Linked DNA regions of Coturnix japonica. The protein of the gene in region 1 purifies or fractionates together with the protein of each later gene. This does not show direct contact. Links are inferred from orthologs where the notes say so. Each region holds a gene or a part of one and is shown in the gene's direction. Other genes may lie near its edges.

Region 1 (15,993 bases):
GGCTACCTCAGCTTCCCATGTCTGAGTGTGCAACACCAGGATCTGTCCTCTCGGACTTTTGTTTTTGCAAATTCCCATATTTTGGATGACCCTGATGTGGGAGAGACAGAAACTGCAGTTGCTCTGTGAGCATCTCTATCATATTGAGTGCAATACAGTGGTTTTTTCCCCCACTCTTTTCCTACTGTAATGAAAAGAGAAGACAGAGTGAAGAGTGGGAAGCAGCTGTTGTGTCGCAGGGAGGGACAGCCACCATCCAGGAGTGTAGAAGCCTTGAAAACATGACCTCATTCATAGGCACAATGTGAAAAGTCTGACTGCATGTGGTTTAGTTCTCCTGTGCTCTAAAAAGCACTGAGGATTGATTTAAAACTCTTATGGTGCTGTGGTGGTCCAGCAGGAAGGCATGCTGTTGTGTGTAACACTGCCTGCACAACTGCTCCTGCTGAACCAGTGACAGGGAGACTGAAAACCTGTAAAAAAAGGTGTGTTCTGAAATATTTATGTAGCCTAGGTATGGTCACAAAGCAGGGGTCATGCGGTGAAGCGCTTGAAGTGGGAACATGAGGAATGTAAACATGCAGGAGAAAGAATGAGGGCAGGAACTGAACAAAGAGCTTTGATGACAAAGCTCTAGTAAAGGAGGCTGTGGTCAGATGTTAGTGTTTCATCTCAAGGTGGGGCAGGGACTGCTCAAGGTTTACTGGATGGTGCTCACATAAGAGGAAGGAAAGGCAAAGAGTGTGAGGGAATGGCAGAAGAAAGCTGAACAGGAGAGAAATTCAACCCCACAAGTATAGTTCCACAGGATCACCTCGCTGTGAACATAATATATCTGCCAGGAGCAGAGAAGGAGTAAAGGGCAACCTCAGCATCTGTTTCTCAAAACACTCTGGTTCCACTCATTCTTAGTTTACATAAGCTGTAAATAATTTAGTAGAGCGCAGGCTTTTGAAGCCAGGGGAAGAGGAGGCCAAGGTACAAAGTTTCATTACGATTCCTTCATGGCACCACAGAAATCTCAATCTTTTAATTGACTTTCTTATTTCTCACCTCAGTTCTCACTGGGAAATGGCACTTTATCTAGAGCCTGCTGCAGAACTGGGAGGAAAAGCCATGGAAAAGATTTCCATTCTTTCATTCTTTCTTTTCTCAATCTTAGGGGAAAGTGGAAGTTTTGGTTCTGTCCAAGCTGGCACAGAAAAATCTGTTCTGGTGATGTGCAAACCTAGCAGCACAGAGCTAGCACAGACTCAGCTCTTTTCCAAAGGCAATAAATGCAAGCATCTCTCCCTGCAAACTGGTCATTATCTTGTAAGCCAGCATACAGAATTCAGAAGCCAGCATAGGAATTCGGAATCTCTAACTACAGTTCCTGTATGTACTGGTTTGTTAAAAAAATTCTATGAATGTTCTAAAAGTAGGAACCCTCCTGGCTTTGCCTTACTTCCCTGTGGCTGTGGTGAGGAATCCAGTCTCCAGTTTCCTTCTTGCATTGCCACTTAAGCATTACTTCTGTTTGCTTTGCTTGTGTTGCAGTGTGAGGATAATAACCACAGCTGTGCAGCTCCGTTAAGGGATATCCTGGCTTTCTTCTGCTGGAAAGAGGTTGTGGAAAGCAAGATATGGAAATTGTATGGGCCTCATTTTACCTACCTGATACTATTCACACTGTTTGCCATTTTTCAAGGGAGACTGTGCAGAAACAAAAGACAAGGGAAAAAGCTGGTAACACAAGGGCCTGGGAAGAGCCTGAAGGACTAAGGACAGGGCTATTCATGCTGGCTGATCCCAGCTAAGCTACCAAAACTTTGTTTCCTCAGACCTGAGGAAGAGATAAGAAAAAAACCTGATAGAATATCAAGGAAAACAAACAAATAAAAATAATCATCAAACATAGGAACTTGGTAATAGAAGGGCAGAAACCACGTCTTTTCCTCCTTCAGATGGAAACAGAGACAAAGGGGAGGGTGAGTGAACTGTACAATATCTGAGGCTTTGAGGAGGGACCAGTAGGAGAGAGCCATGCTCAGGAAAATTTATTCTGTTTGCTCATTTCTCTTAGGTTAATAGGCAGAGGAACTGGCTAGCAAGAGCTGTTAAAGCAAAGTTAGGTGTGAGCGTCCAGCCTGGAATGCCTCTTTGTTGATGGGTAGAGTTTGACTGCTGCGCACAGCTGTGGGATTTGCTTACCTTAGGGGCCAGACAGGGGTGGTGGGCTGGCAGCTTTCTACACAGTGCAAGGGGAAGACGTGAAACATACTGTCTGTGGGGTGCAGATGGTCTGTTATCATGGTATAGCAACAGAAAGGAGGTTATTGTGGGAGATACTACTCAGAGAGGCATAGGGTACGGGGGGTTGAGTTATGGAAGACCTGACCTAGTGCTGGGAGCAGCCTTGTTTCCAGTGGGATGCTGGGCAGTCTCTATAGATGTACCCTTCCAGCCTGCCCTGCCCCTTGTGGGATAGGCAGGATGGGCAGCCTGTGCCCCCAGGAGCCTCTGCCTGTCAAAGTCCTCAGCCGCTGCACCAATTTTTGCATGCAGCAGTTTGGGGTTTTCTTTTGGCCAGCATTACTTAGAGAGGAATAATTCTCCCAGGGCACAACATCTGCACTTGGCGACATGCAAAGCTCTGTTAGAAGCTGTAAAACTGATGCATTGTCGAAGGAATTGGAGCAGCATTTTGCCTCTGTGGGCAGTGCCTGTTCTGATCATTTTCTTCTTTCTTTGGTACTTATGGAAGAGAAGGAAATATATTTAGTTCCCGCTGCTGCAATCCATTAACTGCCTTCCATTTCACAGCAGGTGCTATTTTCCTCAGGGGAAAGAGATGCAATAAACATGCTTCGAATAATGAAAACTCTCTGCCCCATTAATGGCTTTTTGAGTTATGCCTTTAGGGAGAGGTTTTCAAAGGTACTGCACGAGGTCTGATTTCTTCCTCTCCTTTAGAAATCTTTCTGAACAGGCTTCAGGCACCCAGCACAAATCATAGCAGGGCTGTGGGTTTGGCCAGGTTTCCCCTCAGATAACCAGGATGCAGTGTCCAAACAAGTGAGCTGTTGGTGGGAAGCACCTTGAGTTACTGCTCAGTTCTTTAGGCCAGACCATATACATGGTGGGTGCAAAAGCGGGGCATGCTACGCTGTGCAGAAGGGAAAGGAGACACCTGTTCTTCTCCAGAGAATCATCATCCAACTAGTGCAGAGAACAGAGGATTTATCATGTGAGACCTTAACAAAACAAAACTTGATTTTCATTTCTGAAACAAGAAAGTGTATTGTAGAGATGAGAAGAGGAAATCGTGATTTGTGGACCTCCTCTAGCTGAGTGAGTTGTGACTACCTGCCAACCTCCAAGTGCATTCCACATACCCAGTACATTACAGGTACGTGTGTCTACATTTGCTGGGTTTACTCTAGATTGTTGGCTGCCATTGACTGGACATCCAGCATTAGGGTGGAAACTCAACACATAAAGCACCCAGCATACAGAGCCAGCTACAGAAATTGATGCATACTTCTGTGTGAAAGGTGTTATAGTTTATAGTTGTTACGTGGCTACCACAGAGATATCGAGCTATATAAATAGTAGTTATCTACATCAAATATTAAGATTATCCTTGCATAGTTTTGTGAACCATATCTGAAGGCTGTTACACAAATGTTGAGCATTCCTTTCAGCAGTTTGTTTTCTGTGCTTTTTTACATGGGTCTGACTCACATTTTCCACCACAGACAAAATCTACTTACTGGCCACTCTCAAAAACAAATTTCCTATATGGCCGGAGGGATTCTTTCATGCTCTTAGGGAAGCATAACCCTTACAAATATGTACCATATAAAAAACATACAGGATGTGCTCTGAAGAGCGCAGAGTCAGCACCAAAACAATAAAAAGTCAGTCCAGCAGTGACACTTCATTTGCCCCTGCTATGTAATAGAAGAATGCACACCAGGTTATACAATTTCCTTTTGGCCAGATTAGCTGTAAGTTATATGCCACGATGAAGTTGACTTAATGTGCTTTTATCTGGTTATGTTGCACTCGAAGAGAGTATCCCCTTCTTTACTGGACTAAAAATAGTAAAGCAATATAAAACACTTCTCCAGCCACGCTGGCTCCTATCACGAAGCATGATCCTGCAGACAACTTAGGGAAGGAATTTTACTCCTGTGAATAAGGATCTTTGAAGTGATACAAATGAACGACTGTTAGCAGAAGTTGGCCTGCGGTTTTCTCAGTCATTGCTGGGGTCTGAGACAGATACTGCTGGTCGAGACCCTGCTTTCTTTAGTCTGAACTTGGGCTGAGCAGGGAAGGCTGGGAATGCAAGGAGAGCTCAGGGAGACTGGAATGAAGCAGGAGGTGCAAGAGCAAAATACATCGATGAGATACCAATAAATGATGTGCTCTTAAAAGCTAATGGCCACAATGACTTCAAGACCACAGTGCAGCTATTTTCCCTGAACTAAGAGGGTGTATCTTTTTTCAAGCATAATTACTGACAGATCTGGAACACACATGAGATGTTTATGTGTCACTAGGCTTAAATGGAATCAGGAGAATGTTACATTCTGGGCATCAGATGTGATGTGGATTTTCATTTACAGTAACACTTCGCTAGCAGACTTCTCTGTAAAGATGGGCTGGGATTACCATTTGAATTCATTACCACCTATAAGAACAGCTGCTATTCTGTTCAAGTATAGAACCATTAGCATTCATTCCATTTGTGCTACATAGAGTGTCATTACCTGTATAATACTGTGAGTTTGCTTCATAACGGGCCTCTGTTCTGCAGATACCCAGCAGGCAGTTTGTAATTCAGACGCATATATCCGTATATTATTATCCGTAAATAGACATAAAAAACCCCCAAAGGCTAAGGTACAAATCTATTTATTTCTAACCATACGTATCAAATAGGAACCTACTATTTACAATATTCAATCCACATGATAATATTTCCAAACATTTGGACCCTGTCTCAATTAGCAGGTGCAGAAATTGTCCATAATAACACATATTGCTTGGATAAAACATGTTAGTTATATTTCAAACAGCTCTTCTGGAATTCCAGCTATTAGAAATTAATGGGAAAAAAAAATATAGAGAGAGAGAGCAGATGTCAGTGAATTCCTAAAATACATCAGTGGAAGCAGCATTTCATAACTGAAACACCTACCTGCCTGTTCCATAACTCTTAGCTCTGTGCTGAAAGCATTGGTTAATTTAGTGCTGGATCACACCCTGTCTTCTTTGTGATGCAGTCAGGGAGCTGCCTGTGCTGCAGCTATTTCCATGCGTGCTGTGATCTCTGCCTGCCTCCACCAAGAAGCTGCTTCCTCTGTCCAAAAGGAAATAACTTCTGATTTTTATTTAAACTTGATCTTCTTGTAATTGATGCTTATATAACGTCCTAGAAGAAAGCGGCAATGAGCTCAGACTTTCTGTGAATTATTTAGTTGATGAGGTTTTTAATTAATGCAATTAAGTCCACAGATTTTTTTCCTTTATCTGACCTAGAGATTTGGTAAGGAGGAATGCTGTGTTTAGGAAAAAGAAGAAAAATGAGTAGAGAAGGAACTGCAGTCATTTTGCACCTTGCTTATCTACCTAGCAGTGCAGTGCAGCTTGTCTCAGCAGGAGATGTAACTTAGAGTATGGCTTTGATAACAGGGGGAAAGTGCTCTGCTTTAAGGTGTGTGTGCCACTGAATGACACTAAGTCATTCACAATAGATCGAGTTCGGTCTGAGACCCGAGGTGCACAGAAGTGTGTTCACTTAGTAGAGAGAAAGAGTTGAAAGTGACTTTCACGTGAGCCTTGTCTTGAATTGGAAGCAGATCTGATGCAATCCCTGGGCTCTGGGGCAGTAATCTGAGACTTGCTCTGTGTCAGGAAAACTGGCATTGCCAGGAAGATATTCTAGCAGTGAAGAAATGACTTGATTGCAGAAATGCTTCCTAGCTCTTTTTCCTAGATAAGCACTTGAGGAAAAATGATGGAGAGAGAGGTGCCTATACCAGAGCTGGGGCACAAGGCAGGGGTGGCCTAGGTGTTCTTCAGCAGCACCAAATCTGCTGTGACCCATTGGTGTTATCACTGCATCCACTCTGGGGCCAACACACTGATTTTACACATGGTACATAAATTTGGTGTAATTCAGCTAAATGTGATGAAGGTTCTGCCGCTTCTGACTGCAGCCAAAAGCAAGATCCATCTGTGCTTGTCTCCTTCCAGAGCTTATGAGATATACACAAATGTCTTTTCTCATGCTGGTAGAAGTAGAAATATTTCTTATGCATAGAAAAGCAAATCTATGCCAGCCAAGTCCATACTGCATACAGTATTTCTCCTTCATGAGCGACCACCAGAACCTGAGACCCTCTCAAGTTACAACATGAAGATGGAGGGGAAAAGAGAAATAGCACTGCAGTGTTGGTTTTTTTCTGTTGTAGTTATACCAGTACATGACTGAGTGGATTCTTGTTTTGCTTCAGTTTAAACATGTGCCTGGATGATTTATCTTAAAGAAAATGGGTTTGGCTTAAATCCAGACACAGGTGTGTTTACTTCATCAAGAGAGACGGAGCAATGGCAGCTCATTTACTGCTTGTCAATCAGGCATACAGACGTGGTTTAAAAGGGAAGGTTTTCCTCCAGACAGGCAGTGAGGTGAAACACAAACATGGTCCTTTCCCACAGGTGAGTTGGGAAGAGATAGAGTAGCTGTTTGGGCTGATGTAGGCACAGACCTACAGGCCTGGTAAAGTAAGAGCTACGCCTCATGGTCATGAGAAGCTGTAGGTGGTTGTGAGGGGTGGTTCAGGCTTGCAGTAAAAGAAGAAAAAGTGAAACATTTTGGGGAAAAAAATCTCCCTTCCTCTCAGGCTTGTTCCATCATGGCAGAATAAGGAAGTAAACTGAGCATCTGGTCCCTGCTACACCTGGCAGATGGTGTGCCAGACATGTCGTTACTTGGACCCTCCATCCATCCCTCCTCTTCAGCTCCCAGCAAAAGTCCAGCACTGATAGGCCTGGGCATCTCAACACTTGGGTCAGGCAGCAGGCAGTGTGTGTGTGCTGTGCTCCCCACACCCAGCCAAGGAATTCTATCAAATCTTGAAAGCTAAGTCGCATTTTTTTCTCCTTATGCTGAGACATCCTAAGAATTCCATTTTGCGATAAGCATCTGTAATTCCTCTGCTTGTTCCCTGCATGCACACATTCCCTCCGGCAGCTTTCTGCCAGCAGTTCACCTGCTTCTCAGCTTATCAGCTGCCAGTGAATATCTGAAGCTTTCAGTCACTTTCAGGTTCTTGTTTTGAAATGTCTTTTGGTTAAGAAAGGTCATCACTGCACCACATATGAACATTGATCCATGTCCCAGAGTATTTTCTTTTTTTGCTAAAGTCATTTTTTTTCATAAATAGAAAATGGGAAGAATTAGGAGATAATGGTAATTTGTTACTAGTCCATACACAAAGCTTGTGGACAGGCTGAATTGTGACCAGCCTTGTATGATTGTCTGTGATCATCACCCACCTCAGGAAACAACCTGAGATGTTATTCCCATTCTTCCCTACCTCCTGCACAGCCTTCCTTCATCGGCATCTTTGCACTGATGGAATTTAGAGACAGTGAACTGATAATGAATATAACTGATAATGAAATAGGCTGTGACCTCTGGCTGCACCCAGAGGAGGCCATGGGCACAGGCCGGGCTGTGCTCATTCAGTCATTACAGATTTTTGTTACGCTACATCATTACCTTGAATGATCACAAGAGCCTCCGCTTTGACAACCTGCTCTTCTTCCTGGGCTGGTCAGAAATAATTTTGTAACAGTGATATTTACAGTTAATGCTGGATGTCTTGAGCAGTTTAGAACAATAGCAAAGAGTGAAACCTACTGCCAAACCTTGGCTTTACTTTTCACTGGTGATGAGGGGAAATAGCCTCAGGTTGCACCAGGAGAGGTTTAGGTTGGATAAGAATGAGTTGTTACAAGCAAATTACAGCTTCTGAGGAAGGACAAAAAGCTGGGTCCTGATTTGAGTCCTGATTTGATTTGAGTCCTGATTTACAGCGTAAAGCCTGAGCACAATGAGGGCTGAGAATATACGAGGCAGAAGAAAAACCCAGTGTTTATTATGAATGTAGAGGGGTGATGTGAGGCCTTCAGCCCCCCGCTCCAGTCGCAGCCCAACAGGGCGCGGCCGCTCCGAGCCCTGCAGAGGCCGCTCTGCTCCGCTCCTCTCTACCCCACCTCCCCACCCCGCGGGCGGTGCATTATGGGTAACGTAGTCCTGCGAGCTGCTCTCCCAGCGGGGTGGCATCACCATCCGGACTACATCTCCCAGCGTGCATCGCGACGCCGGGCCGGCCGTTCCCTTTGAATGATTTCACTGCGGTCGGCGCTCACAAGGCGAGTTTGGCGGCGGTGGCGGCGTCGTGCGAGGGGCGGCTCCGCAGCGCTCACACCGTGGATGGCCGCCACAGGGGGGACCGTGGCCGGGATCGGGCCGAGGCGTTGTTAGTGAGCGGGGTAAGGGGGCCGCTCGATTCGCCTTTCCGGCTGCGGTGCCCCCCAGCACCGCCGACATGTCGCTGGGTATGGAGGAGGAGGAGTACGCCCGGCTGGTGATGGAGTCGGAACCCGAGTGGCTGAGGAATGAGATCAAGAGGCTTTTCCAAGAGCTGGGTGAGACCACACGAGAGAAGATTCAAGCGGCGGAATATGGGTTGGCTGTGCTGGAGGAGAAGCAGCAGCTGAAGCAGCAATACGAGGAGCTGGAGCTGGAGTATGAGACCATCCGTGCCGAGATGGAGCAGCTGAAGGAGGTGAGGACGGCGGGGAGGGACGGGCCTGAGCCCTGAGCTTGGGGCCCTGACAACACGCGTTTTTCTTATACAAAATCATCGCTGCCTCAAGCACAGCCCATGCTGGGGGTGGTTGTGCCTTGTCCGGACCTGCAGGCACCCTCTTAGTGCTCCCTATGGGGGGCCGCTCATTGCCCATATAGCGCATCCCGTGGGACTCACTTGGCTGCTCCTGCTCCGGTTATTTTGGTGACTGTTTCTATGCAGGCAAACCATGCGCTGCTTTTGAGCTGATGTAGGCCTTGCCTTGTTTGCAAAGGATCTGATGCTGCTTAAAATGTAGACGTGTGTGGTTGTATTTGGTCAATGTGATCCATGTGCTGTCGGTCTTTGGTGTTGCTGGTGTGGGTTGGATGTGGATTTGAAGTAACATCAAAATACACTGTGTCAAAGGGAAAGTAAACGCAAATGGATTTGTATCAATTCAGCTGAACCTGTGAACGCCCTCACTTCCTGCATCCTGTGTGTCGGATGGACTCTGTTTAACATCATAAAAGCAAAATAAGCATAAGCAGAGGAGGTGAATTGTTTTGAATTAAATGTTTGTGCTCTTACTAACCAAATGCAGGCTGAACCTCCCTGTTCATTGCAAGGGAGTTGGATTAGATGACCCTTAGAGGTCCCTTCCAACTCAAATGGTTCTGTGGTTCTCTGGTTAATGCTACTTGGAACTGACTTGATTCTGGCAGTGCAAATACTGGAAGGAACAAATGTGTTGGCATCGTGAGCCCTTGGAAGTAGAGTTGCTACACAAAAGATAAGGGAGTCAGAAACAGTCCTGGGAAGAAGGAGCAATAGGGTTTTGCCAAAGGGAGAAGAAAATCAGCAAACCCATTGGTAGGTGGGATGAGACAACATGGGGAAGGTGAGGAGACTGGTGTGACCTCACTGAGCTGGAGCCTGAATGTGGGGCAGTGCCAGGGTGGCTCAGTCACAGGTGACACCTTGGTTGGCTGTGGGCCTCATGAATTTAGTCCTTCAGGTGGGAAATGTCTGGAAGGCAGCTGCTGCTTGTTCTTTTAGAGCTACAACAACATCTCAGAGGCTCGAAGAGATTTGGGAACAACAAAAAAAAAGCAAAAACCAAAAAGAAAAAAGAAAATAGCAGGATGAGCAATGATTCATTCTTTGCTTTGTGTGTGCATGTCCTGTTGTAATTAAGTCAAAACCTGGGAGGCAAACAATTCTGGGAACAATCTGAGGTCTCTATAGTTGTACAACACAAGGCAGAACATTGCTCCTCTTGCTTCCCTGTGATGCTGGGGAGGAATCTGGTCTTCATTAGAACTTGTAAACCTTCGGCAGATGCATGAAGCATGTTGTCACAGGAGGAGTTTATCTTTGCTGTTTATATAACTTCTTGCTTTTCCCAAGCACGTTGGGAGGCATTTTGCATACAGGACTTGCCATATAGCAAGGTGCAGTTTGAAGAGGTTGCACCTTAGGTTACATTGTATTGTTCCTGGGGAAGGCAGGGGAATTGCTGCCAGGAAGAGGGGTGCTTTCTTTTTCTTGCTTCTCAACTTGGACTTCATGCAGCCTTTTTAGAATACAGACATTGCAGTCTCCTTAAATCTTGTTCTGTTCCTCTCCGCTACATCTAGAGACATCAATAGCATAAAGCCATGTCATGCACAGACACACAGCAAAATTTCCTGTCTTGCTTGGTGTTGTAAATTTGGATATACTTTAATTTGTTTAATGTTATGAAGCATCCCATATCGCGGCCCTGTTCATTCCATAGGTAAATGGGCTCTGAGCGTGGGAACTTCCTAATAGAGGCTGTTGAAAGTACAGGCTTTTCTGCTGCAACTGTCAGATCTTGCACAACTTTCCGGCCAGCTTCTCCCTTGTGCTCCTTTATCTGTGATTGTGGCAGAATTTCCTACCTGTAACCCCCACAGTTTTATCCCTTTGATGAGTGTACGTGCCATCCTTAGAGCTGGACCCTGTTTTGCAAACCCACCTGTGTGTACACAATATCTGCCATTCGGATCATCCTGGTGGTAGTGGGGGCTGTCCTGCCATTGCACTGAGGCTCCATCTCATCAAACCCTTCAGTTGGAGTCCTTGGAGAACTGTAGACTTTACCCCAGATTTGTCCTATCTGTTCACATGCTGGTTTGCATCTTGTACCTCTCAGGGTAATTGTGCCACATTTTTTCTGTTGTTTCCATTTGAGACACATAGACTGAAGTAGAAATTGTCTCCCCAGGTGAACCTGCTGGTTATTTCACTTCCATGCTTATTTTTGTGAAATGAAATTGATTTCAAACCTTACTGAACGTTATGGTTTAGAAATGCATTGTTTTTTTATCTCAAGTTACATGAATTAGCTCCTGACTCTCAGTGAAATACTACATCATGTTGTATGTTGATGCTTTCGGTTGTTATTTGTCTCCTCTAGGAGGTGAAGTGATAAAGAGTTGTTTCTATAGGCTGTGTTCAGCTAAGAAATCATCCTGTGAGCCTTTGTCTGTGGGGATGCTAATATAGGGCTGCCAACCTGCCTGAGCCAAGGTTGCTGTACGGGAATTCACTTATTGGCATCCTGATGATTTGTAGGACAACGTGGCTTGGAAGGTTAGCTTGAAAAAGAGCTTGTCTGCTTTGCTTAGTACTTTTGAGTTGCTTTTGAGATGCCAGTTAGATTTACAGCTCACTGTTTGGTTAGATATGAAACTGGCTGCTGTCCAAAGCTACTTTCAAATTAGATGGTTATGCAGTATTGGTGATGGTAGACTTGTATTTAAGTCCCTCAGAATGCAGGGGCATGATTATGTTATGCATTATTTATTTCTGTAATAACGTAAAAGTGTGTAAGTAGACTGTGGCTGTCCTGAGATTCTAAAAGCATGCATCAGTACATCACAGTTAATGCCAAGGCCTTCTTTGTTGTGTATGTTTTAAGGGGATGGGTGGAAAGCTTACAAAGGCAAAGAGCATCAGTACAACTGGGGTCCTACTTTTTTCTCTCATACTACTTGGGCTTCATCAAAATATAGCCTGCCTTTCTTTAGTTTCCTAACACCTTTTTCTGTTGTGTGTGATGACTTGAAGTTGTGCTCTTCAGAAAGCAGCAAATGTAGCTTATATCAAAAGCAGATGCTTGGTAGGAGTGTTATGTAGCTGTCAGAATGTCCAAGTGTACTGTGATAAGCAAGCCAATGCAAAGGTATCATCAGCATTGAATGCTTCAGAAGGGTGTTGCAAACAGTGTTTTGTTCTGTTCTTATGGGGAGGAGAAGACAAAGGAAGCATGTTAACCAAATCATTGGTTAACATAAAATATTCTTTGGAGATGACAAAGGAATGCCTGGAGAGAAAGCAGTGAGCTGTACGTGACTGTTCATTTCTCTGTAGGGTGGCAGTAGCTCTTGTTACTGTTCTTTGCCTTTAAGGATCGTGTATTGACTTTGTTCCATGACACAAACTCTAGGGCTCCTGGATAGGCTTAGAAGCTGTCTCCAAAAGAAGCATGCAAATGAAATCTTGAGCGGCCTCATTTCTCATTAAGATGAAGTGGGGCATATTCTGCAACGGCGGCGATACGTGCCCAGGCTGCAATATTTGTGCAGCTTATTTGAATGTATTGCTTGACTGCAGTGTGCAGTATCTGTGATCACTCAGGGTGGTTGTTCTGCTTTGGTTAATTCACCTACATACATAACAGTGAATGGGATACGTGATACTTGATCCATACTGTTTTAACACTTTAACAGTGTATATTCAAAAGTGAAGGAGAAATAATTATTTTTCCCACTGGAAAAAAAAAAAAAAAAAAAGCAGTATAGCCTACAGACAGACATACAAGATAATTATCGGGTTTATTGACAGCATTTTACCTACTGTGTTGCTGCACTGCTATGCTCATTTACTGTATTGGAACAAAGGGGAAGGAAAGAAATGGTTGGGATTGAGTAGTAACAAGCCAGTGGTAGGCTGGGATTCAGTCTTCTGTGCATACAGAGCAACACCTGCTTGACTAGGCCTTTCCATGATAGATGACAATGGTCAGCAGCAATACTTCTATGGCCATGGGCACATCTCTGCAGCTTCCTCCTGCCAAATATTCAGTGGTTATATCGATCCATGTTGAAAAGGAAGGACCTTAACGTTACATCCAGCCATCTGTTCAAACAAAAGGAGGTAGCGTGTAAAATACACGTGTGATTTCTTTTTGTTTTGTTCTCCCAAACTGACCCTGATAGGCTGACCGTAATTCCGTCTGTCTGCATGTAAATGTGCAATAAAGTACAAGTTGTTGGGGAGCTCATTGTCAGTTTTGAACATCCTGATGGAAAACAGGTAACACACGAGCGAACTTGTGGCTTTTGTGGCTGTTATTACTTGGACATATTCTAACAGCTGCTTACTTGAAATGGAAGGAGAGACCAGAATTGCTGTCTCTGCTGTGTAGTTGGACAAACCTGTGGTTGTTGAGGTAAGCAAGGTACACCCATGGAAACCAAACTCCTTCTATTTTGATCGATAACAGTTGGTTTGCATTAAGAATACAGCCACCTGGCATTGTAATCTGATTGCTGGAGCACTGTGGGCATTTGCTGCTGTGTTTTGGAAAAGATCCCTTTCTTACATATTACCAAAACAAAGCCTGGGAAGTTGAACATTCCAGTTTTTCCCGCTGTACCATCAATGAGCAACCTGTACAGCTTTGTGTTTTCAGCTGCTTTTTCTTTGCTGGTGCTGCTTGATTTGCTCCTGTTGAAAGCTTGAAGTGATTTGCTCATGAAAATTCCCATCTCCTCCTTGTGCTTTCTGCTGTAAAATACAGGACGTGCTGCTTTATATAGAGCATCAACTAATGGTTGGGTGAATAGTTGAGAACTCTGAATGGAATTACATTTAAAAAAGCTTGTTACAGAAGTAGCGGCTTTGCTGTAGTTCCTGTAGGCTCAGCTGAGAGCTGGGCCTTGATGAACTGCGAAACTCATGTTTGTGATGCTTGTCTGTGCCTTGGCCAAGAACGAGGGCTGTCCCTGACCATCCAGCAAACATTTGTTTGTTTTGAACTGTCTGCAATCGATGAAATCCAAGGTTTCACGAGACAAAAGCTTGGCAGCAGCAATCCCATCTGCTATTTTGTCCCTGGAAGAGCGGCAACATTTGGCATTAGCAGTGCTGGTGGAGGGCATGTGCTGAGCTGCACTCAGGAACTGAGGCACATCAGAGCTGAGGCTCTGCAGATTTGGGGCCGATTTGCAATGGGCTCAGGGCTGCTGAGTGGCTCCGCTAAGGGCTTGGATGAACCCAAGGGGGTTCTGATGGGCGCTGCTGCTTGAGCGGGGCTGTATGTGCTGTCATCTCTTTTGTACCAGCGGAAGTTTGTTCATCCCCGCTGTGTCAGACCTCCCGCCTGCTGCTGGGAGCCTCCAACCCACTCACAGCATTTTGCTTCATAGCGGTTTTCTTGAAACCGCTGCGGCGATCCCTGCAGTCGGCCCATTTCAAATCGCAGCTCCTGCTTCCCATCCCAAACCCTGCTGGAACAAACTCACTAGTTTCAGGGGTGTTAATACCTAATTTATCCCTTTGAGTTGAAGAACATATTTCTTCTAATCTGAAAGAAAATTCTAATGATTTGGAAAATTGCCTGTTTTCCCTGGGAGGGGGCGAGGGGTGGGAACAGCAGTTATAGGGCTGTGCGCTGCCGGGAGTTAATGGATTCACCATTTCCTCTTTCTCTCTACTGTATGTGAGGTTGTGACTAATCTGTAGCAGTGTGGGGCCATAAGATGACTTCCAGAGGGTGATTCATCCTCCAGGCATTCATTTGCTCTCTTTCTCTGCATTTGGCAGACTGCAGGGAATGGTTTGTTCAGATCTGTAACTGAGCAACTGTGGAATATAGCATGAGTTTGAAAGATGATCCACAAAACCTTAGCAGGGGGGAAATGACATAAATAAATGTTGCCATCTAAATGAATGCAGGAGCCTCCATTTCAGAGAGTAGCTGGGTTTAGGTCTAATTGCTGAGAACTCGGACTTCATATTTTCCTCTCATTCCAGACACTTCCTTACTCATATCCATCCTGTGCTCTTCCTCCACTCTGTTCTCCCCCATTGTCTGCCTTACCCTCTGGGACACCCCTGTGGATGCTGCCCCTGCACCCTTTCCAGGATGAGCCTGGGGGATGGCTGGCATTCAGAGCTGTCCCCTGCCCTGAAGCAGACAGGCTCGTTTCTGGAGCTCAGGAGGAGCAGTGAACTGGAGTCCTGCTCATTTACAGAAAACTGTGCTCAGCTCTGTGTGCTGAGTGCCAGCCTATGAGCTGAACCGGGAATTTGGACCCTCTCCCAGCTGGATCCGGCTTCTCCTCAGCCCGTGCCGTATTTGGTGCTTGGGGCTGGGGAGCAGCCGTGCCATATTAGGGCCTACCCAGCTTGTGCAGAAAGAGCAGCATGTCCTGTGATGCAGTGCATGGCCCTGTGGTGTGCTGCAGCCCTTTGTCTGTAATCTTTTTTGTTACCCTTTAATCGGTGCCAGCATGCAGCCTGCGTTGTACTGTGCTTGTGGAACAGTGCAGTGCTTGTGGAGCAGCACAGCCGAGTGCTTTGCTGTGGGTAGTGATGAGTTGTTGCAGGAGATTCATTTGGAGTCTGTCTGCATGTCCTGCCATGCAGTGCTGAGCAGTTGGCCATGTTGGTTAGCTCCGGTTTCTAAGCAAGAAAGTGTATTGACTTGATGGAGGGCTAACCTTATTTTTCTGATACAGACACTATCTAAGCAGACATTTGAACTGCCCTCTCACCTGCCCACATCAGCCAGGTTTTATTTCTTCCTATGCACAGAGATTTTGTTACATTGATTTTTTATTTATTTATTTTTTTTAGTCTCTTTTTGAGGTCAGTGCTCCACCATCTATGGTTCAATCTTTGACATTTCCCATTGCAGAAGTCCATTTTGCACATTTGGTCCTGATTTTCATCCTGTCACTCAGCAGTGTGAAGATATTCTCCCACAACTCACAGCTGTGCTGGTAGCACAGGGCTTTAAAAACACAATTGGCATTTTGAATACAGCAACATTTTTAGTGTGACCAATGTGTAAGAAAATACAAGCCTTTGTCCACCCTCAGTG
Region 2 (15,444 bases), on another chromosome or scaffold:
GGAATGACACGTAAAACCAGGAGCAGCGCAGAGGGCTCAAGTCCATGTCATGTCTGTAGGTTATTTTTGAGCTTTATGAAAAACACACTTTAGCAGTTTACATCCTGACCATTCAGCTGTATTCTGGGATTCTGAACTCAAAAACATTCTAACCATGAAAACATGGCATTTAAAAATACTGTCCACTTGGCTTCTTTGCCTGGCTTCAGAGTCTCCCAAGTTTGTTTCAGACAAACTGAGAACTTTGTTGTGGAATGACTGTTTGAATTGGGGTTTCTTAAAATACATACGAAGCCTTGTAGCTGCTGTGGGATGTACAGAGCGGTGTAGCTGTACTATTTTAGAATCATATGGGTATTTGACTTCATGTAAGAATATCTGTCAGCTTAGTTATAAGGAATGAGCAGGGTTGATTAAAACAACTCATGAAGCCATTAAGCAAAGAGATAAAATGTAGAACATGTGCTGTAGGGTCATTTTAATTATAATGTATGGGGGATCTGTGGAAACTGGATGGCAGCAGCGTTGTAGTTGAGTTTTAGATCACTTTTAAGCAGTTCCAAAATACTGTTACTCAAAGGTGTTTTTTTCTTATCTATAAAATACGTCCTTTGGAAATGATGCTTGGGAACTAGCATTCTTATGACCATAGTATGATTACTGTTCTTAAGTGCTTAGATAGATAAGGGCTGAAATAAACAATTATATATATGAATCATCTGGTCACTAGACATTAGTCTACATAACATCGGACAAATGTATGAAAAGCTTTACTAGAGAAAGGGATTGGAGATACCAAATGAATACCCCTGAAAATTCAGAGAGAATAGGAAAGAAAAAGGTAGTAGCAACTTATTTCATCATCCTGGCAGTTCTATTATTTTTGGCCTCATTGAGTCAAAAATACAGGGTTGAATACATTGCTGTATGATGTATTTCTACTAGGTTATTTTAGAAAGAAAAAAAAAATCTGGCTTGAAACAACGGATATCAGTCAGCCACATGAATTCAGTAAAAGCTATTTAAACAGCACATTTTCCTGTATTCTTATTAACCTAGTTAGAAACATCAAGAGTTGGCATAATTAATTCCAATCCTATTGGAAAAGTTATTAAATCTCTGGTGTATGAGCTGAAACCAGTCTCTAGCTGCTAGAAATCATGACAAGGCATAGTAAGGCAAGATGACCACACATCTGCCCACGTCAAAGTTTTTATAACTCCAGCCACCTCTGCCAGAGACAGAATCCTCAGCTAAGCAGACACTGGGTCTAGTTCAGTTTGCCAGCTCCTGTATTCTCAGTTCAACAAAGTTTACTTAAATGCCTGCAGTATTTTTTTATGCAGCTGAAATATATTAATATAGTTAACCCTTTGTCACTCTATTAAATGGATTCACGTATAGGCGTATCACCATTTCAAAAGGTCCAGTCATTAAAATACAATAAAGATTTGTTACCAAAGCTGGTTGGAAATGATTGGAAAATGAGATTTTAAAAATGTGCCCATTAACAGAGAAGTTAACTTTCTGCAATTGCAATAGAAGTTAAAATCTCACTCTGTGGCTTGTAAGCATCACTGAAACAGCTATGGAAAAACGACATTTGCTTCTGTTTGCAAACTGCCTTTTTTAATATGTGAACTCTCAGGAAATTATGCAAATACTGTAACTTTTACTTTCCAATTTGCATGAAACAGAGAAGACATCCAGGATCAATTGAATAAAAATGGGAAAGAATTCCTTGAAAAGAGAATGGGGGACCTTGAAGGAGTAACAGATTGTTGCTCTTGGCTGTAGCTCATTGGCAGTTAAAGGTTCTGGAGATTGTTCCCTTGAGGACTTCAGATGTTGTATGGTATTTTAAAGAGACTTGAAGGAGGCAACTGGGGCAGACACTCTCCATGCTGTCCTGTGGAGTAGTCTCCCAGATGGCCAAGGCAAGTGTTATACCAGTCTGGCTCCTCAGCATTCCCGGTTTAAAGAAAATGTACAAACACAACCCAGCTGTCATTACAGAGATGAAGAACTGCTTCTGCTGAAACTGTGTAAAGGAAAGTGTGAGTCCCTCTGTTACTAGCAAAAGATCTTTCTGTAGCAGAGAACTCAGTCATTGATTCAACAAGACGCTGCTCATCAGGCAGTGTTCTCAAGGCAGCACACCTAGAGGCGCACTTTGGATGGCCTCTCACAAACTCATCTGAAATTATTGGAGAGTTATGTGTTAGAAGAGCAATATGGGAAGCAGTATCCCTGCTGGGGATAGTGAGCTAGTTGGATTGATAATTGGTTGCTTGAAGTCCTCATTATTGAAAAGGAAATTTATCACTTTCACATCACTGTCATGGAGAGGTACTTAGCATTGTTCTAAGACTTATCTTATGGTTCATATTTTCCTTAGGACCAAAGGAATTACTCATTTTAGGATCAGAATTGGCTCCTATTGGCTTTAGCAGAATACTACTGATATTTAAGGAATGTGAATAATGGTCACACCCATCTAAAATTCAAAATGATAACTGCAGCAGAAGGAGAACTGAACATGACTGATGAAAATAACCCCTCTCTCCTCTTCTCTACCTGTTTTACTCCAGTCCTCTGTGATGTCTGTCTGTTTTGCCCGCTTTCACCCAAACCTGGTTGTTGGTGGAACATATTCTGGCCAAATTGTCTTGTGGGATAATCGCAGCCACAGACGAACTCCTGTTCAGAGAACTCCCTTGTCTGCTGCTGCTCACACGGTAAGGACAAAAGTCGCCTCTTCCTTTCCTTAGAGGAAATAGTCAGCAGATAAGTGAAGCTGCCTAGTCCTGTCTGCAGTGCTGGTTGTTAAATGGATAAAACATAAGCACGGCCCTTGAAAAGAAAGAAGCAAGTGACAGAGGTGTACAACCACCTCCTGTGTTAAGCCGTTACACTTCATATGGGCAGGTCAGGAGGTTGTCCTCCTTTATGATGAAGACGACAGGAGCAGCTAAAACACTCAAATGAGTCACCTATGTGATTCTTGCTCTCTGTTGCCTTTAGAGAGAGTCAGGTTACTGTAGGGACTACGTGTCTGTCAGTCAAACATGCAGGCAATTTGAATCATCGATTGTTGACTACTTGTGCAAGAGTTTGTCTCTTGAAACAGATTAAGCACCTGCAGTGATCTAGCAGAATTCTGCTAAGTAGACACTTGTGCTTTTAAAAGTGTGGGGCAACTGCTTCTGTTTTACAGCAGAGAAATTTTTAAATCCCTTTTCTGGCCTCCTACTCCAGACAAGACCATAGAGCACAGCTTGTAGAGTGAGGAGGAGTTTGTTTCAACAGAATGCTATGGAAATGCATTTTGATGACACACAAAGGTACCTGCAGATATAATGATGATTGCACAAAGGGCTCTGGTGATGTCTAGGAGATAAACAGGCAGAGCAGTACAAAATATTTGAGTTTCTCCATACTCCAAAGATAATGTCTGTGGTAGAAGATGTTCGTACACTGCAAAGTACCCATATTGTGCTAGAGGAAGAGATAAGCCTATATTGCCTACAATCTGTAGTAGGGCTGACCTTAGCCCCACTCTGCTCTGAGATGCTGAGCATCCTTGAGCTCTCCTCCTGGAGAGTTTAGGCTCAGAGAGCCTCTTCATACAAGCTGGAAGGTTTACTCTGTGGGTTGTAAGGGTAAGTTGTCTTGGGGCTGAGCTTGGGGCCATTTCTGTGTGGGAAGTGGAAAACAGATGCTTAAAAGAGGAGAAAGATGTAATAAAATAAAAGTACAGAAAAATCTGCAGGATTTCCTCAAACATAAGAGAGTGAACTACACAAAGCAGTCTGAAAGTTAGTAATCTTGTTCTATCAGAAAGAGGGATCAGACAATGTGATTGGCCATTTGTACATCCAGCATCTGCAGTTCTGTGATTCTTATATTTGTAATTTGCAGATCAAGGTTCAGCTGAGACAACATAATCCCTGGAGTTAAGAGGCAATGTTTAAAAGCCACGTCATATGAATTAAAGATTCAGTGCAGGTCCAGTGTTATGAAGGCATGTCTCTCATATTAAGAAATGACAGGTGTGCACAGACATGCTTAGCAGGCCAGGCAGTACAAATATTGTTCCATAAATTTCCACTATCATGAATGTTGATGTAATAATTTAATGATCTGTGCCATGGGTTGCAACTTCAACATTGCTTTCCATTTCCCTAATGTTTTTTTTGCTCATTTTATCACCAGTAGCGGTGTTCAATCTGCATGAAAGGGAACAGTCTCTCCTGGAAGTGCAATTTAGAGATGTAGTAGACCAGAAAACTAATGGCAAGAAACTATCGCTGCAAATTGAACAACTGGGACTCAAAATCTAGTGGAAAAGAAAAGATTAATGGGAAGTAATTTGTTTACATTCAAAAATGTCTAAGACAAAATTGTACCTCCTGGAATTATATATTAAAATAGTATTATTATATAGAACAATATATGAAGTTTTGACAAATAAAAATAAATGACTTTCTGTTGTGGATGTGCACTTTATGTGCTGTTGCAGATTGGTATAAATAAGTGTTTGTACAGTCCAGCATGAGGAAGCATTGTGTTTTTAAGGAGTGATCAGATTTTACAATAAAAGACTACTTATTTTTGTTCATATTTATGAATCACTTACCTAAACCGTAAATGAAGTCTTGGCTGCAAAAGGCTGGCTTGAAAGGTTTAAGTTAACTCTAGTGTGGCAATATTTGTGCACTGCTAGTTAAGTGAGTTGAATTGCCAGTTTTAATTTGAACTTATGCCATATGTGGGGAAAAAAAAAGGATTTTTCTCTTTTTGTTCCCTCACTCTGTTTATTTGAAACAAAGAAAGTATGTTGTCATCACCAACTTAAACCTTCCTTAAGTTTAGTCTCACTGATTGCTGCTTGGATTCACCAGGAAAGACAGTTCTACCCACAGCTTATTCACTAATTTCCTTTCACACCCACCGCACATCTGCACTTGGGACAACAGGAAATTTTAATTAAGACAAAACCCTTTTGCATGATGATTTCATTTCCAAAATAAATAAAAACAAGCTGGCAGCAACTCTTTGAGAGGAAGGAGCCTGTTAAGACTTTCTGTTGCATACAGTTGGTTGTCTTTTCCATCCATTTTCCTTTTTCCTTTTCATTTTTGCTGTGAATTTTATCGTGCATGAAATTGATGGTTGGCAACCCTGATTAAAGCCAGACCTGGCACACAGAGGTGCTGCTGGAAGGACGTGGCTGCCTCTCTCCCTTCCCCCTAAATATTGTAGCCACTCCACTGGCTGCATTAGCTCCCTGTCACCTCTGTCCTCATCCCTTTGGCCTTCTGGAGGTCAAACACCCATTAAAAAATAGGACTGTGTTTATTTTGCACATCATTATGTGCTAATCATATTTAGCAATGTGGTAATTAGTTCACCACTGAGGAGCATGAAGGTTCATTGTAGGAGGGTAATAGCATGAGAAACATGTTAGGGATAGACTGGGGTCCCGCACATTATCTGATTTCCATTTGATGATGGCGGGGGGAAACAGTTCATATGACAGTCTTGAGATAGAGAGAAATCAACACTAGAGGAGACCTTGCAATTTAGTGCCCTTAGTACAGGTGGCCTCTAAGCAAAAGCACCATTTTGGGAGCAATTGCTAATAAGTCCATCTTTGGTGCAGTGTGCAAACACTGTGTGTTCAAATTCCACCCTGCTTGCAATTAGAGCCAGGGGCATTTATTGGGCCTGCTGTGGTGTCAAACCTGAGAGCTAGACAGTGCCAGCTCTGCCTTTCACTGCTCACTACATAGCTGAACTGCAGCTGGATCGTCAGGGAATCTAAATAACTGCCGTTTCTGTCATTCATTTCAGTAGGAGAAAACGGCAGGTTTCTAACCCTATGTGGAATTGGATTAGAAACTGTAAGACATCTCTTCTAAGCTTTGTCCTGATTTTCAGTGAATAAGGAAATTATTTGGGAAAAGCATGTTTTCTTCTTAGAGACACAAGTCTCATCTGTACAACAGGCAGGGAATTACAGTTTGTCTTTGGTTGACTTGTGTGTATGTCTTATTCTAATTAAGCATTATTACTTGTAGTGGTCAAAGAAAATTAAATCTCATTGCTCGGTCTGATTGATCATTCACTGTGGAGACTGCTGAACTTGAACCACCCTCATATGTCACCATCACATATCAGATGACACTTCAGGCTGAAAATGTTAGCAGGTTTCTTGGAAAATGAGCAGACTGAATTTGATTACTGCATGCTAAGTGGAATTCAGCCTTTGACTGACCACGCTATGAGGAATCAGGTGTAACACCCTGAATTTAGTCACTCCACAATTCTAGTGACAGATCTAAAAAGGTATATTGTCCAATACCAGAGAACAATGACAGACTAGTTTTCATTTTTCTGTTGAAGTACATTTGCAAATATTTAGCATGCAAGCCAAATTCTGGGAGAGTTCAAGTTTTACACAGCTGTTTTCTTCAATAAAGTTTTCATTTTGATTCCATTTGGATGGTTTGCCTCTTTCTGCCAGTTATTTTCAGTGCTGAAAGCCATCAGTAGAATGATACATGTCCCTGTGGGTGAAATCCCATCCACATAATTCAGCATTTTCACAGCATTACCCAGCTGAGTTGTTTTATGATGAGGAAAATGAAACATTAAAAACACTTCCATGTCCATAACACGCCTCTTAGAATTGAAATTAAAAAAAGAAGTTGAAGTCCTACATGGCAAAAGCCTGGTCCTGTATTTTCCAGACATTATGTGACTACTTAATCATTCTTTACAATAAGATACGAGATGTTAGAAATGTGTTTTGAGGATGTGAGAATGTCTCTCTGACTTCCAGTGTTAATGTGTTTGCAGCATCCGGTGTATTGTGTCAATGTAGTTGGAACACAGAATGCACACAATCTCATCACTGTCTCCACGGATGGCAAAATGTGCTCCTGGAGCCTGGACATGCTCTCAACTCCACAGGTGGGTTTGTTTTTACCTATACAAGAGAAAATCACCTTCAGCAAAGGAGGATGGATACCTGCTTAATGGAACATAGCTCCTAAAAGCCAAAACCTCACATCTTATACAAACTAAAACCAGTGGATGCACTTGAAAGAATACAGCTTGCTTCCAGCAGTCTCTGCTAAGAGCCAAAACCCATTTCCTTTACCACAAATCATATAATTATTATAATACGTTAATACATAGGTCAGTTTCAAGTGAAAATGAAATAATCCATTTTAAAGCATGGTAATTACAGAAGTTGCCTGTGGTATAAATTGTACTTACTCTACAGTGTTGTTTAACAAATATGGACTAGATTGCACTGCCACTGAACACACCCTAGGCACTATGGGTTTCCAAGGCACAAAGTCTGAAAGCTCACTTTGTTGCCTGCTTCCAGTATTTAAAAGGAAAAAAAACACAATGCAAATCAAATGTTTTAGAGCTAACTCCCCCCCCCCCCTTTTCCCGCTCTGGAATGTTTGTTGCTATTGTTTTCCCTTCCCCCTCCTACCCCCCTTTGTATCAGGACTGAAAGGAAGTCCAAGAAAATTGTCCAAACCACTTGTGATTATAATAATGGAAACTAAACAAAGAATCTGGTGCTGAGGAGGCCCTATGGAAAGTGTTATCTTTCAGAGTAGTACATTTGTATATTTCCTGTTCCAGCATATCACTGTTTTATTAAACATCATAGGATCTGATCATGAAAATGCTGAATAGGAACTGCTTTTAATGATTCCTTTAATTATCCATTAATAATGCATTAATGTGCAATTACTCTTGAGTTATTTGCTTTTCAGTGTTGACACAAGATGTGGGACTCCTCCCCTCCTTAGCCATCTAAAGGTCCCTGTCAAGTCCAAGCTGATCATTTGAGTTCCTTTTACAGTTAATTTAGAGAGAGACCAGCACTTCTAGAGGACAACTCAATCCATCCCAGCATGAGATACCACTTTAGATATTCTAGGGTACGGCACTGGACTTACATCTTAGGATGTAAGCTACTTCTGGAACTCATCCCATCTAACCTCTTACTGATAGTGAGGCCAACTTCAAAGTTTGATTGTGTTCTTCATGCTCCTCATATACATTATGGGTCTGGTAGTTGTGTCTGGGGACTATGAAAAACTGCTGCAGTTCTGGAAATGAAGAAGAGGCATCTAAAATGGCCCAGACATCTGTGTTTAGGAACCTGAATCCTTTGCCCTATTTTTCACTTAAATGTAGGGAAGATAAATCCTTGTGTGTTTACTTAGTGGAATACTGAATTTTCCAGCAGATATTTGTGAACATTTCAGTTCCAGAATTTCATCATTCAGATGGAATTTCCCAGATTCAAAACTGACTTTCAACAAGGATGGGAATGCATCCCATGTCACACTGAAATTCAGTGTATGGCTCACAGTTATCTTGAAAAGGACACGGGGCTTGATGTCAAGCTACACGCCATAGCTTTAAACTGAGCAGAGCAGTATTGCTGATTTGCATTAGCTTGAAACTTTCCAAAGACACAGATCCAGAGCACTCATATACAGCCATGGTGTAGGCTTTGAAGGAGATTCTGCCACAGTATCTGGCCATATCTAAGGACACTAAACAATGATCTCACCCCTGAAGATTTTTGTAGAAATATATGGTCCACAGGTGCTCTGCCAATGCATTTTCCAGGTCTTATTTTTCCTTGTTAATAGAAGCAAATATATGTGAAAGAAAAATATAAATCAAGCAGAAGTATTTCTCTATGGATTTGCAGCCCTCTCCTCCCATAGGGACGCTCACTTTCTTCAGCTACAGCAAAAATCCCTCCTGATAAAAATGCTGTAATCTTTAGCTCGAGAAGAATAGCAGCCTGGGCATTTAAATGTAGAAAGCACACACACTTAAAGAGCTGAAAATGAAAATTACTAAATCATTCAGGCCTTTTGTGGGATTCTTGGGTTACACCATTTAGGCTGCACAACCAAAAAGGTTAGAGTTGTGCAAAATCTGCTTAAAGCATATGCGTCGTGTAGCAGCATACGCATCATGTAGCCGCCACAGGCTGCTCACGCTGGTTGTATTCGAGATGTACAAAAACGAGTATGCTGATTTACTTTGAAATATGGCTAGAAGATGAAAATCTGCTTGCTGGTTTGTAGCTCGATGGTGGGATCCAGAGAAAATATTTATGATTAGTTCAGAAAATCTCTGAAAAACAATGTTTAGGATAGCAAGAATGATATGACACTGACTTCTGAATGTTGTTCTGCAGAGGGACAAATGTCACTGTCTGATAGACGCCTCAGGTGCATGTGATATTACATGTGTTTCCTGACAAACAACTGATTTTAGACAATGTTTGTAAGTAGAAGGGTATTTTTTATTAGAGCCTGGGGCTGGCAAGTATAGCCATTAAGGTGTTATCTTTAGTTTCTGCGCCATTAGATTTTAAATTCTCACCTGTCATCTCTGCCTGATTAAAGATGATGTTGCAGCCACTCTGAAGTGTCTGACACAGCATCAGGGATGGCAGGAGCCGTGCATCCTGATTGTGACATTGCATCTTCTTCCATTGCCCAAAACAGAACCCTAAATCCTGTGACTGGATCAGATGATTCCTCCTTCCTTTCTTGGTACTCTGTATAACATTTAGAAATGAATCAGCAAAACAAAAACAACATCCACAAACAAGCCAAACAAAAGGACAGCTACAGAGTAATAACAAAGATCTATTTCGACAGGAGAGCATGGAGCTGGTGTACAACAAGTCCAAACCAGTGGCAGTTACAGGAATGGCTTTCCCAACTGGAGATGTCAATAACTTCGTTGTTGGCAGTGAAGAGGGAACAGTCTACACAGCCTGTCGTCATGGAAGGTGACTTTAAGCTTTATGTACTTCTGTAACATCATCTGTATTGGCATGAGGTAGCCACGTGTGTGGAGTGTGCTTAGCTTTTTGTCCCTTGGATGAGCAGGATCTGTGCTGGGACGGGACTAGGGTGGGAACTGCCCAGCTTCATGCGTGTGTGTTACTGCCATGCACTGCAGTGCTTGGCCAACCTCCCTGTGCAGTCAGCAGGGAGCAGTAACTGCTGGAAGGTGTGACTTCTCTTGCCTTTTCCACTTCAAGAAGGGATGACTGGCATCCTGGAAATGCCTCTTTCTCCGCCCTGATTCTAAGGGAAGCCTCAAGTGCTGGCTGAGGTGTAGATTTCTGTGTTGGGGCAGGTTGTACCAGGCCCTAGGAGAAACCTTTGTTGCGGGGTAGTCAGACGTAAGCCACTTGGAAGAAAGGGTAATCTGCTTTATTTTCTTTACCATTTTCAGCTTCATCTTCAGTCTCTACAAGCAGATAGCAAAGAAAAGAAAGCACAACAAGGGTCTGAGTGCTGTATGGCTAAACACTGATTTCTCCACTTCTAAAGCTAGGAAAGTGCAAATTCAGTTCCATAATTTAAACAAGTTCCTGATTTTGCACCCTGTAAACTTTCTAAGGCTGCAGTCAAAAACAAGGAGCTCTCACCACAGGCCTCTGCAGAGATCAATTCCTTGTGTTTGCTACAGTGATCTGCAGGGTGCTTGCGTGCTCTCAGCTTCTGGTAGCAGTTTCATCCTCTGGGATGCTTGAGTGGCTTCTGTAAAGAGCAGGCTATTTCACTGATAGATCTAAAGCTGACCTCCCACTTCAGTGGTCTTCAGATTCATATGTTACCACAGCCCTTGTTTCAGGGACCAAATACACACTGGCAGTGGTTTAGCAGTGGTTTAAGATTGTAAGACTTCTATTACACATTCTTCATATTGTATAGTCACAGTTTTACATACATTTTCTTCAGAATTATTTTTATTTAAAAGTATTTTTTACTTTACCCTGCTGACAGTATTGCAGTGCTGTGTCTGTTTAGGCATTATCCTGATAGGTTGTGGCTGCTGGTCTGAATTAGTTTTTGGCTGCTGGGATAAATGGAGCACGCCCAAGGGCATTTCTCACATCTGATCTTTCAGATGTGCCTGGTTTGTTCCTCACAAGAGAAGGACAACAGATTTGGCATCATTTGCTTACAGGATGAGCAAAGCTGCCCGCTTTCTTTCTTACCCAGATTTGTGCTTTTCCTTCCTATTCTAGCCTCACTCTGACGATATGCACACCTTCCCATGCTCACAATAATGACTTTGATACCCCATCATGTGAGCAGTCCCTTCACATTTTGTGAAGAAGGATTTTCTTCCCAGGGACATGACTGACTGCTGTGCAGAGTTATTTTAAATATTCGAGCAAAGAAGAATTGCAAATGATATGTCATTAGCATCTTTGCATTTTTATTTTAATGGTTATTCCTCGTAATAATAGTGTACTCAGATGTATAAGATGTAGTGTAATTATAATTTCTAATTACTTTATAATTATACATACATGTTATTTCAAGCTATAGTAGTAGACAGTGTATATAGAAGTCAGTAATGCGTGTCTTCAGAAGGAAAAAGAGCTGTCTCTCAGTGCTGGATCCTGAGCACTAAGAGTGCCCAGAGCAGTGAGCTGCTGCAGGCAAAGGCCTTGCTGAAGGGAGACTGCTTTGCAGGTTAAATGGAGCTTTAAAAGAAAACAGGATTCTAAGAGGAAAAGAAAATGATGTTAAAACACCACGTTACTCACATTCTGAATGTAGATGTCTCTTCCTCCTGCAGCAAAGCTGGCATTGGTGAAATTTTTGAAGGCCACCAAGGACCTGTCACAGGAATCAATTGCCACATGGCAGTGGGCTCAATTGACTTTTCCCATCTCTTTGTCACGTCATCATTTGACTGGACAGTGAAGCTGTGGACCACAAAGGTGAGGAAAACGAGCTGGGATGTGATGGGTAATGCTACTTGTGAAAATGCCATTGTCAGAAATGTTTCACTTGAAATCAATTCACTGAAAGGCTGTTCTTAGAAAAGGCGTAGTGTTAAAGTGAAATGAACACCCAGTGCAACTACGTCAGCCATCTTTGCCATGGAGCCTACCCTATAAAGGTAGTTTCATCTGGCTTGCACTTCAGTATTAACCCCAGTGTTGAGCAATTTCACTAGGAAAGGAGAATAGAATGGATCGTAGTGGCAGTCATCACAGAATTCATCTAGCGCTCCTTGTGCAGGCTGAATTGCGAGGCTAATACTGTGCACTGTGACAGTACAACAGCAGGAACGCTTTCTTCTGATGAAGCAACAGGGAGGTACATGTACTACAGTGCAGTCAATATCCTTCAAGAAAATTATTGCTGTAGGAGGCTGTGGTAGCCAGAAAGTATAACTCATCCCAGTGACATTAGACACCAATGGCTGGGAGCAGGGAGGAAATACATGCTTGTACATTCGTGACTTTTGTTGCTGACTGCTCTGTGGATGTGTCTATGTCACCTCTTACAGGGACAACACTGTGAACAGTGGAAAAGAGCACACAGGCCTGCGGAGCTTTGAATACCCACACTCCATCTATGTATAAATATAGACTAATGACAGAGTCACCGCAAACTGCATGACAGTTTAAGTAGACCAGCCTCATTGTGCGGGCTGAGTGGAATAGGAGAAGTAAAATATCTAACATTTAAGTCATCTAAACAGTTATTTTTGTCCTACATCAGAGCAGAGAACTACATTCCAAGCACCGGACTTCTGTCTTCATCATTTATTTGTGTCTGCGTTTGGTTCACATCTTGAGCTGTATCCGACAGAGCTCCAGTGCTGGAAATTGACCCCAGTCAGGAAATATCTCAGCGTGTGTTCCTCAAACTCATCAGGGCTTGGAGATGCTGAGACAGATGCACAGCAAATGTAAACACAGAAGTGATCAGAAGGAATCATGTGGCCGCCTTGTTCTGGAAATAGAAGCACAGTTACCTAGATAATAGCTTGAATTAGCCTCTGTGTAGCTTCATAATGCATTTGTTAATAGCTTGATCTGATGTGTACGCTAATTAATAGGTATCTTTGCATGATGAGCAATGACCACAGCTGACAGTTTTGTTTGAGTATTGCAGTTTCTGAGCATTGCATACTTGGTAGGAGGAGGGGTGCATGATTTACCTGATTCTCTCCATAAACAGCAGTGGATCCAGCCTTAACCTAATGCAGAACTGACAATGGAGGGTGGTCGTGGGCAGGTTGGGATGAGTTTGGGGTCAGTCCTAGGTAGTGTTAGAGAGTGCTGTGGGATAACTCAGTGATAGAGAGCTGGCTCAGGCTGGTGAGTCTGGTGTCTCAGAGAAGAGAGTGCTGGTCAGTGGCACTGGTGGCAAGGGAGTATCAGATGGTTGAAGCTGAAGTTAAGTAAGAGGAAAAGAATTTGTGGGTACTGGGTGGAAAATGAAATGAAGGTACTGAAATACCTGCATTCTAAATATACACGTCCAGAAAAGTTTGGCATAAGTATCAGACACTCAGCTTGAGGCTGAATATCTCACTAAGGGTCTCATCCTTCTGCAGCATAAAGGAAATTGTATTAAGGAATGAGAAGGCTTGGGTTTTTATTTTGAATGCCTGGGTTTTTGGAAGTTAGTGGCAGCACTAACACAGCATATTTTGGACACAAAGACACTGCAGTTAGCAGTACATGGTAATCCTTGTGGAATACTTCATTGCCAAAACAGTTAGGTCAGATGCTGTTCAATACAGTCAGTTTTCAAAGAACCAAGCAATTTAAATTTTTAATACCTCATCTGGCAAGAGGGACTTCCTGAGAAAGCTACTTGACCTAACCGATGGGGGCAGGGATGTGCGTGTGACACAACACAGCACTGCTGTGAGCTGGAAACAGTATTGCTGTACTGGCTCCATTGGTTTCTCCTGGAGCAGATCTGAGCAGCAACAGCAGCTCTAGGCTGCTGCACTGCTAGTCTCTGTGTTGTTCAGAACTACTCTGAGGCTCTGAACAAGTTTGTGAAATGTAATGTTTTCCTTTTCTTCCAATTAGACTACTGCAGAAATTTCTTTCCATATTATCTCTTGGCTGGAGTGAGTACATATTTAGTGCTCTCTTTGTTCCATTCCCACAGTCAGGAGCCAGCCCATCACTGGATATTGAACAAACCCCTCAACATTTTTGATTACCTGAAAAAAATAGCATGTTAATATGAAAAAATGAGTGATATGGTTGGTTTAGGAGAGTTTACTCAGATGTCTTTATTATTATTATCCCCTTGGTTTCTTATTTGTAAAGCTAATCCCTCTTTCAGCATCCAAAGCTGTATCACTTTCTGGCTCCTACCAGTGATGTCTACCTAATCCTGTGCACATTATCCTCTTTCATCCTGAAATTCAATTCCTTTCTGTTTCACACGTTCAGAATCAATGTCCAATTGAAAAGTGAACCATAAAAGCTCTGTGTTTATATTGCCTGTTGATGTGGTGTAGCACCCTGGGGTGCTTACAAGAAAGGCACTTTCATAGCAGGCATTTGACTGATGGATTGAAAGCCCTGTCTCCCTTAAAAACTCTGGATTGACATTTTATAATCTGTTTTTGCAGTTAACACATTTTCCATCCCAACACAGTTCAACCAGGGGACTGAAAGTAAGATGTTTATTGAAGAATGAAGGTCTGTAGATAATACTAATAAAAGGTTCCCTTTATCATCATATTAGCCTATAATTAGATCCTTGGGTGAACCGTGAGCAACCAGAAGCACTAGGAAAACAAAAATGTAATTTGTAAAGATGGCCTCTTGATAGCCAGGGCATTACCTGGGTCCTGATGAAGTCAATAGGACTTTCAATTTGAATTCATGCTATACCACATAAGCAAGTCTGGGATGCAGAGCTGTCAAAGGAAAGTCCTGATGGGAAATGTCTGTGGAGCTCTGCCCCCAGTTAGTTACTGTCTGTACAATGCTTTGAAGAGGTAAAGTGCTAAGTGGAAATGCTAAGTGTTGCTAATTAATTAAGCACTAATCCTCATGAGCGAATAGCATGAGGTTAAATAATGAAATGTAAGTATTGTTATTATTACAGCAATTGCTGTGTGGAGTGGGAATTTTTAGATATTGTGTCAAGGGACAGGAGGTAGCTTGGAACTGTTAAAGCATAGTTTTATAGCAAGCTGGTTTTAGCTGATGCTTAGAAAATGGCACATTTGCTACTGAGAGAGTTAAATAACAGTCCAGTTAAGGAGATAATGTGTGTTAGTTTTTCCAACCTTCACATCTCTTTTACCCTTCCATTGATGGTAGATACTAATGACTGAGTTTTTCTAATATCGAAACCATGCTCAGATGGGCAGCTAACTGAAAGACTGGTTGAAATAACAGTAACAGTCCCCTTCCATGCTTCTCTCTTTCTTGCCTAATGCTAAGAAATGATGGTGAGTGCCATAATCAAACAGAGATGAGCAGACTGGTAGTGGAACCACTGCATAACCACCAGCAAGGACTAGTTGAGTCAGAGGGCTTGTGTGCCTTCCAATAGACTACCTACTTTTGTGTCCCTG

Evidence for each region.
Region 2: the proteins of BICD2 (region 1) and DYNC1I1 purify together in Homo sapiens (affinity purification with western blotting; 4 studies listed by BioGRID and IntAct, with this or other methods). This does not show direct contact. The link is inferred for Coturnix japonica from reciprocal best matches to the Homo sapiens genes BICD2 and DYNC1I1.

What each region holds. Positions count from the first base shown.
Region 1 is NC_029527.1:4,887,957-4,903,949, reverse strand, and holds the start of BICD2 (protein bicaudal D homolog 2), read left to right. Parts: upstream 1-8,612; coding exon 8,613-8,852; intron 8,853-15,993. UniProt on the Homo sapiens protein: Acts as an adapter protein linking the dynein motor complex to various cargos and converts dynein from a non-processive to a highly processive motor in the presence of dynactin.
Region 2 is NC_029517.1:21,971,600-21,987,043, forward strand, and holds part of DYNC1I1 (cytoplasmic dynein 1 intermediate chain 1), read left to right. Parts: intron 1-2,591; coding exon 2,592-2,738; intron 2,739-6,864; coding exon 6,865-6,978; intron 6,979-9,725; coding exon 9,726-9,859; intron 9,860-11,670; coding exon 11,671-11,815; intron 11,816-15,444. UniProt on the Homo sapiens protein: Acts as one of several non-catalytic accessory components of the cytoplasmic dynein 1 complex that are thought to be involved in linking dynein to cargos and to adapter proteins that regulate dynein function.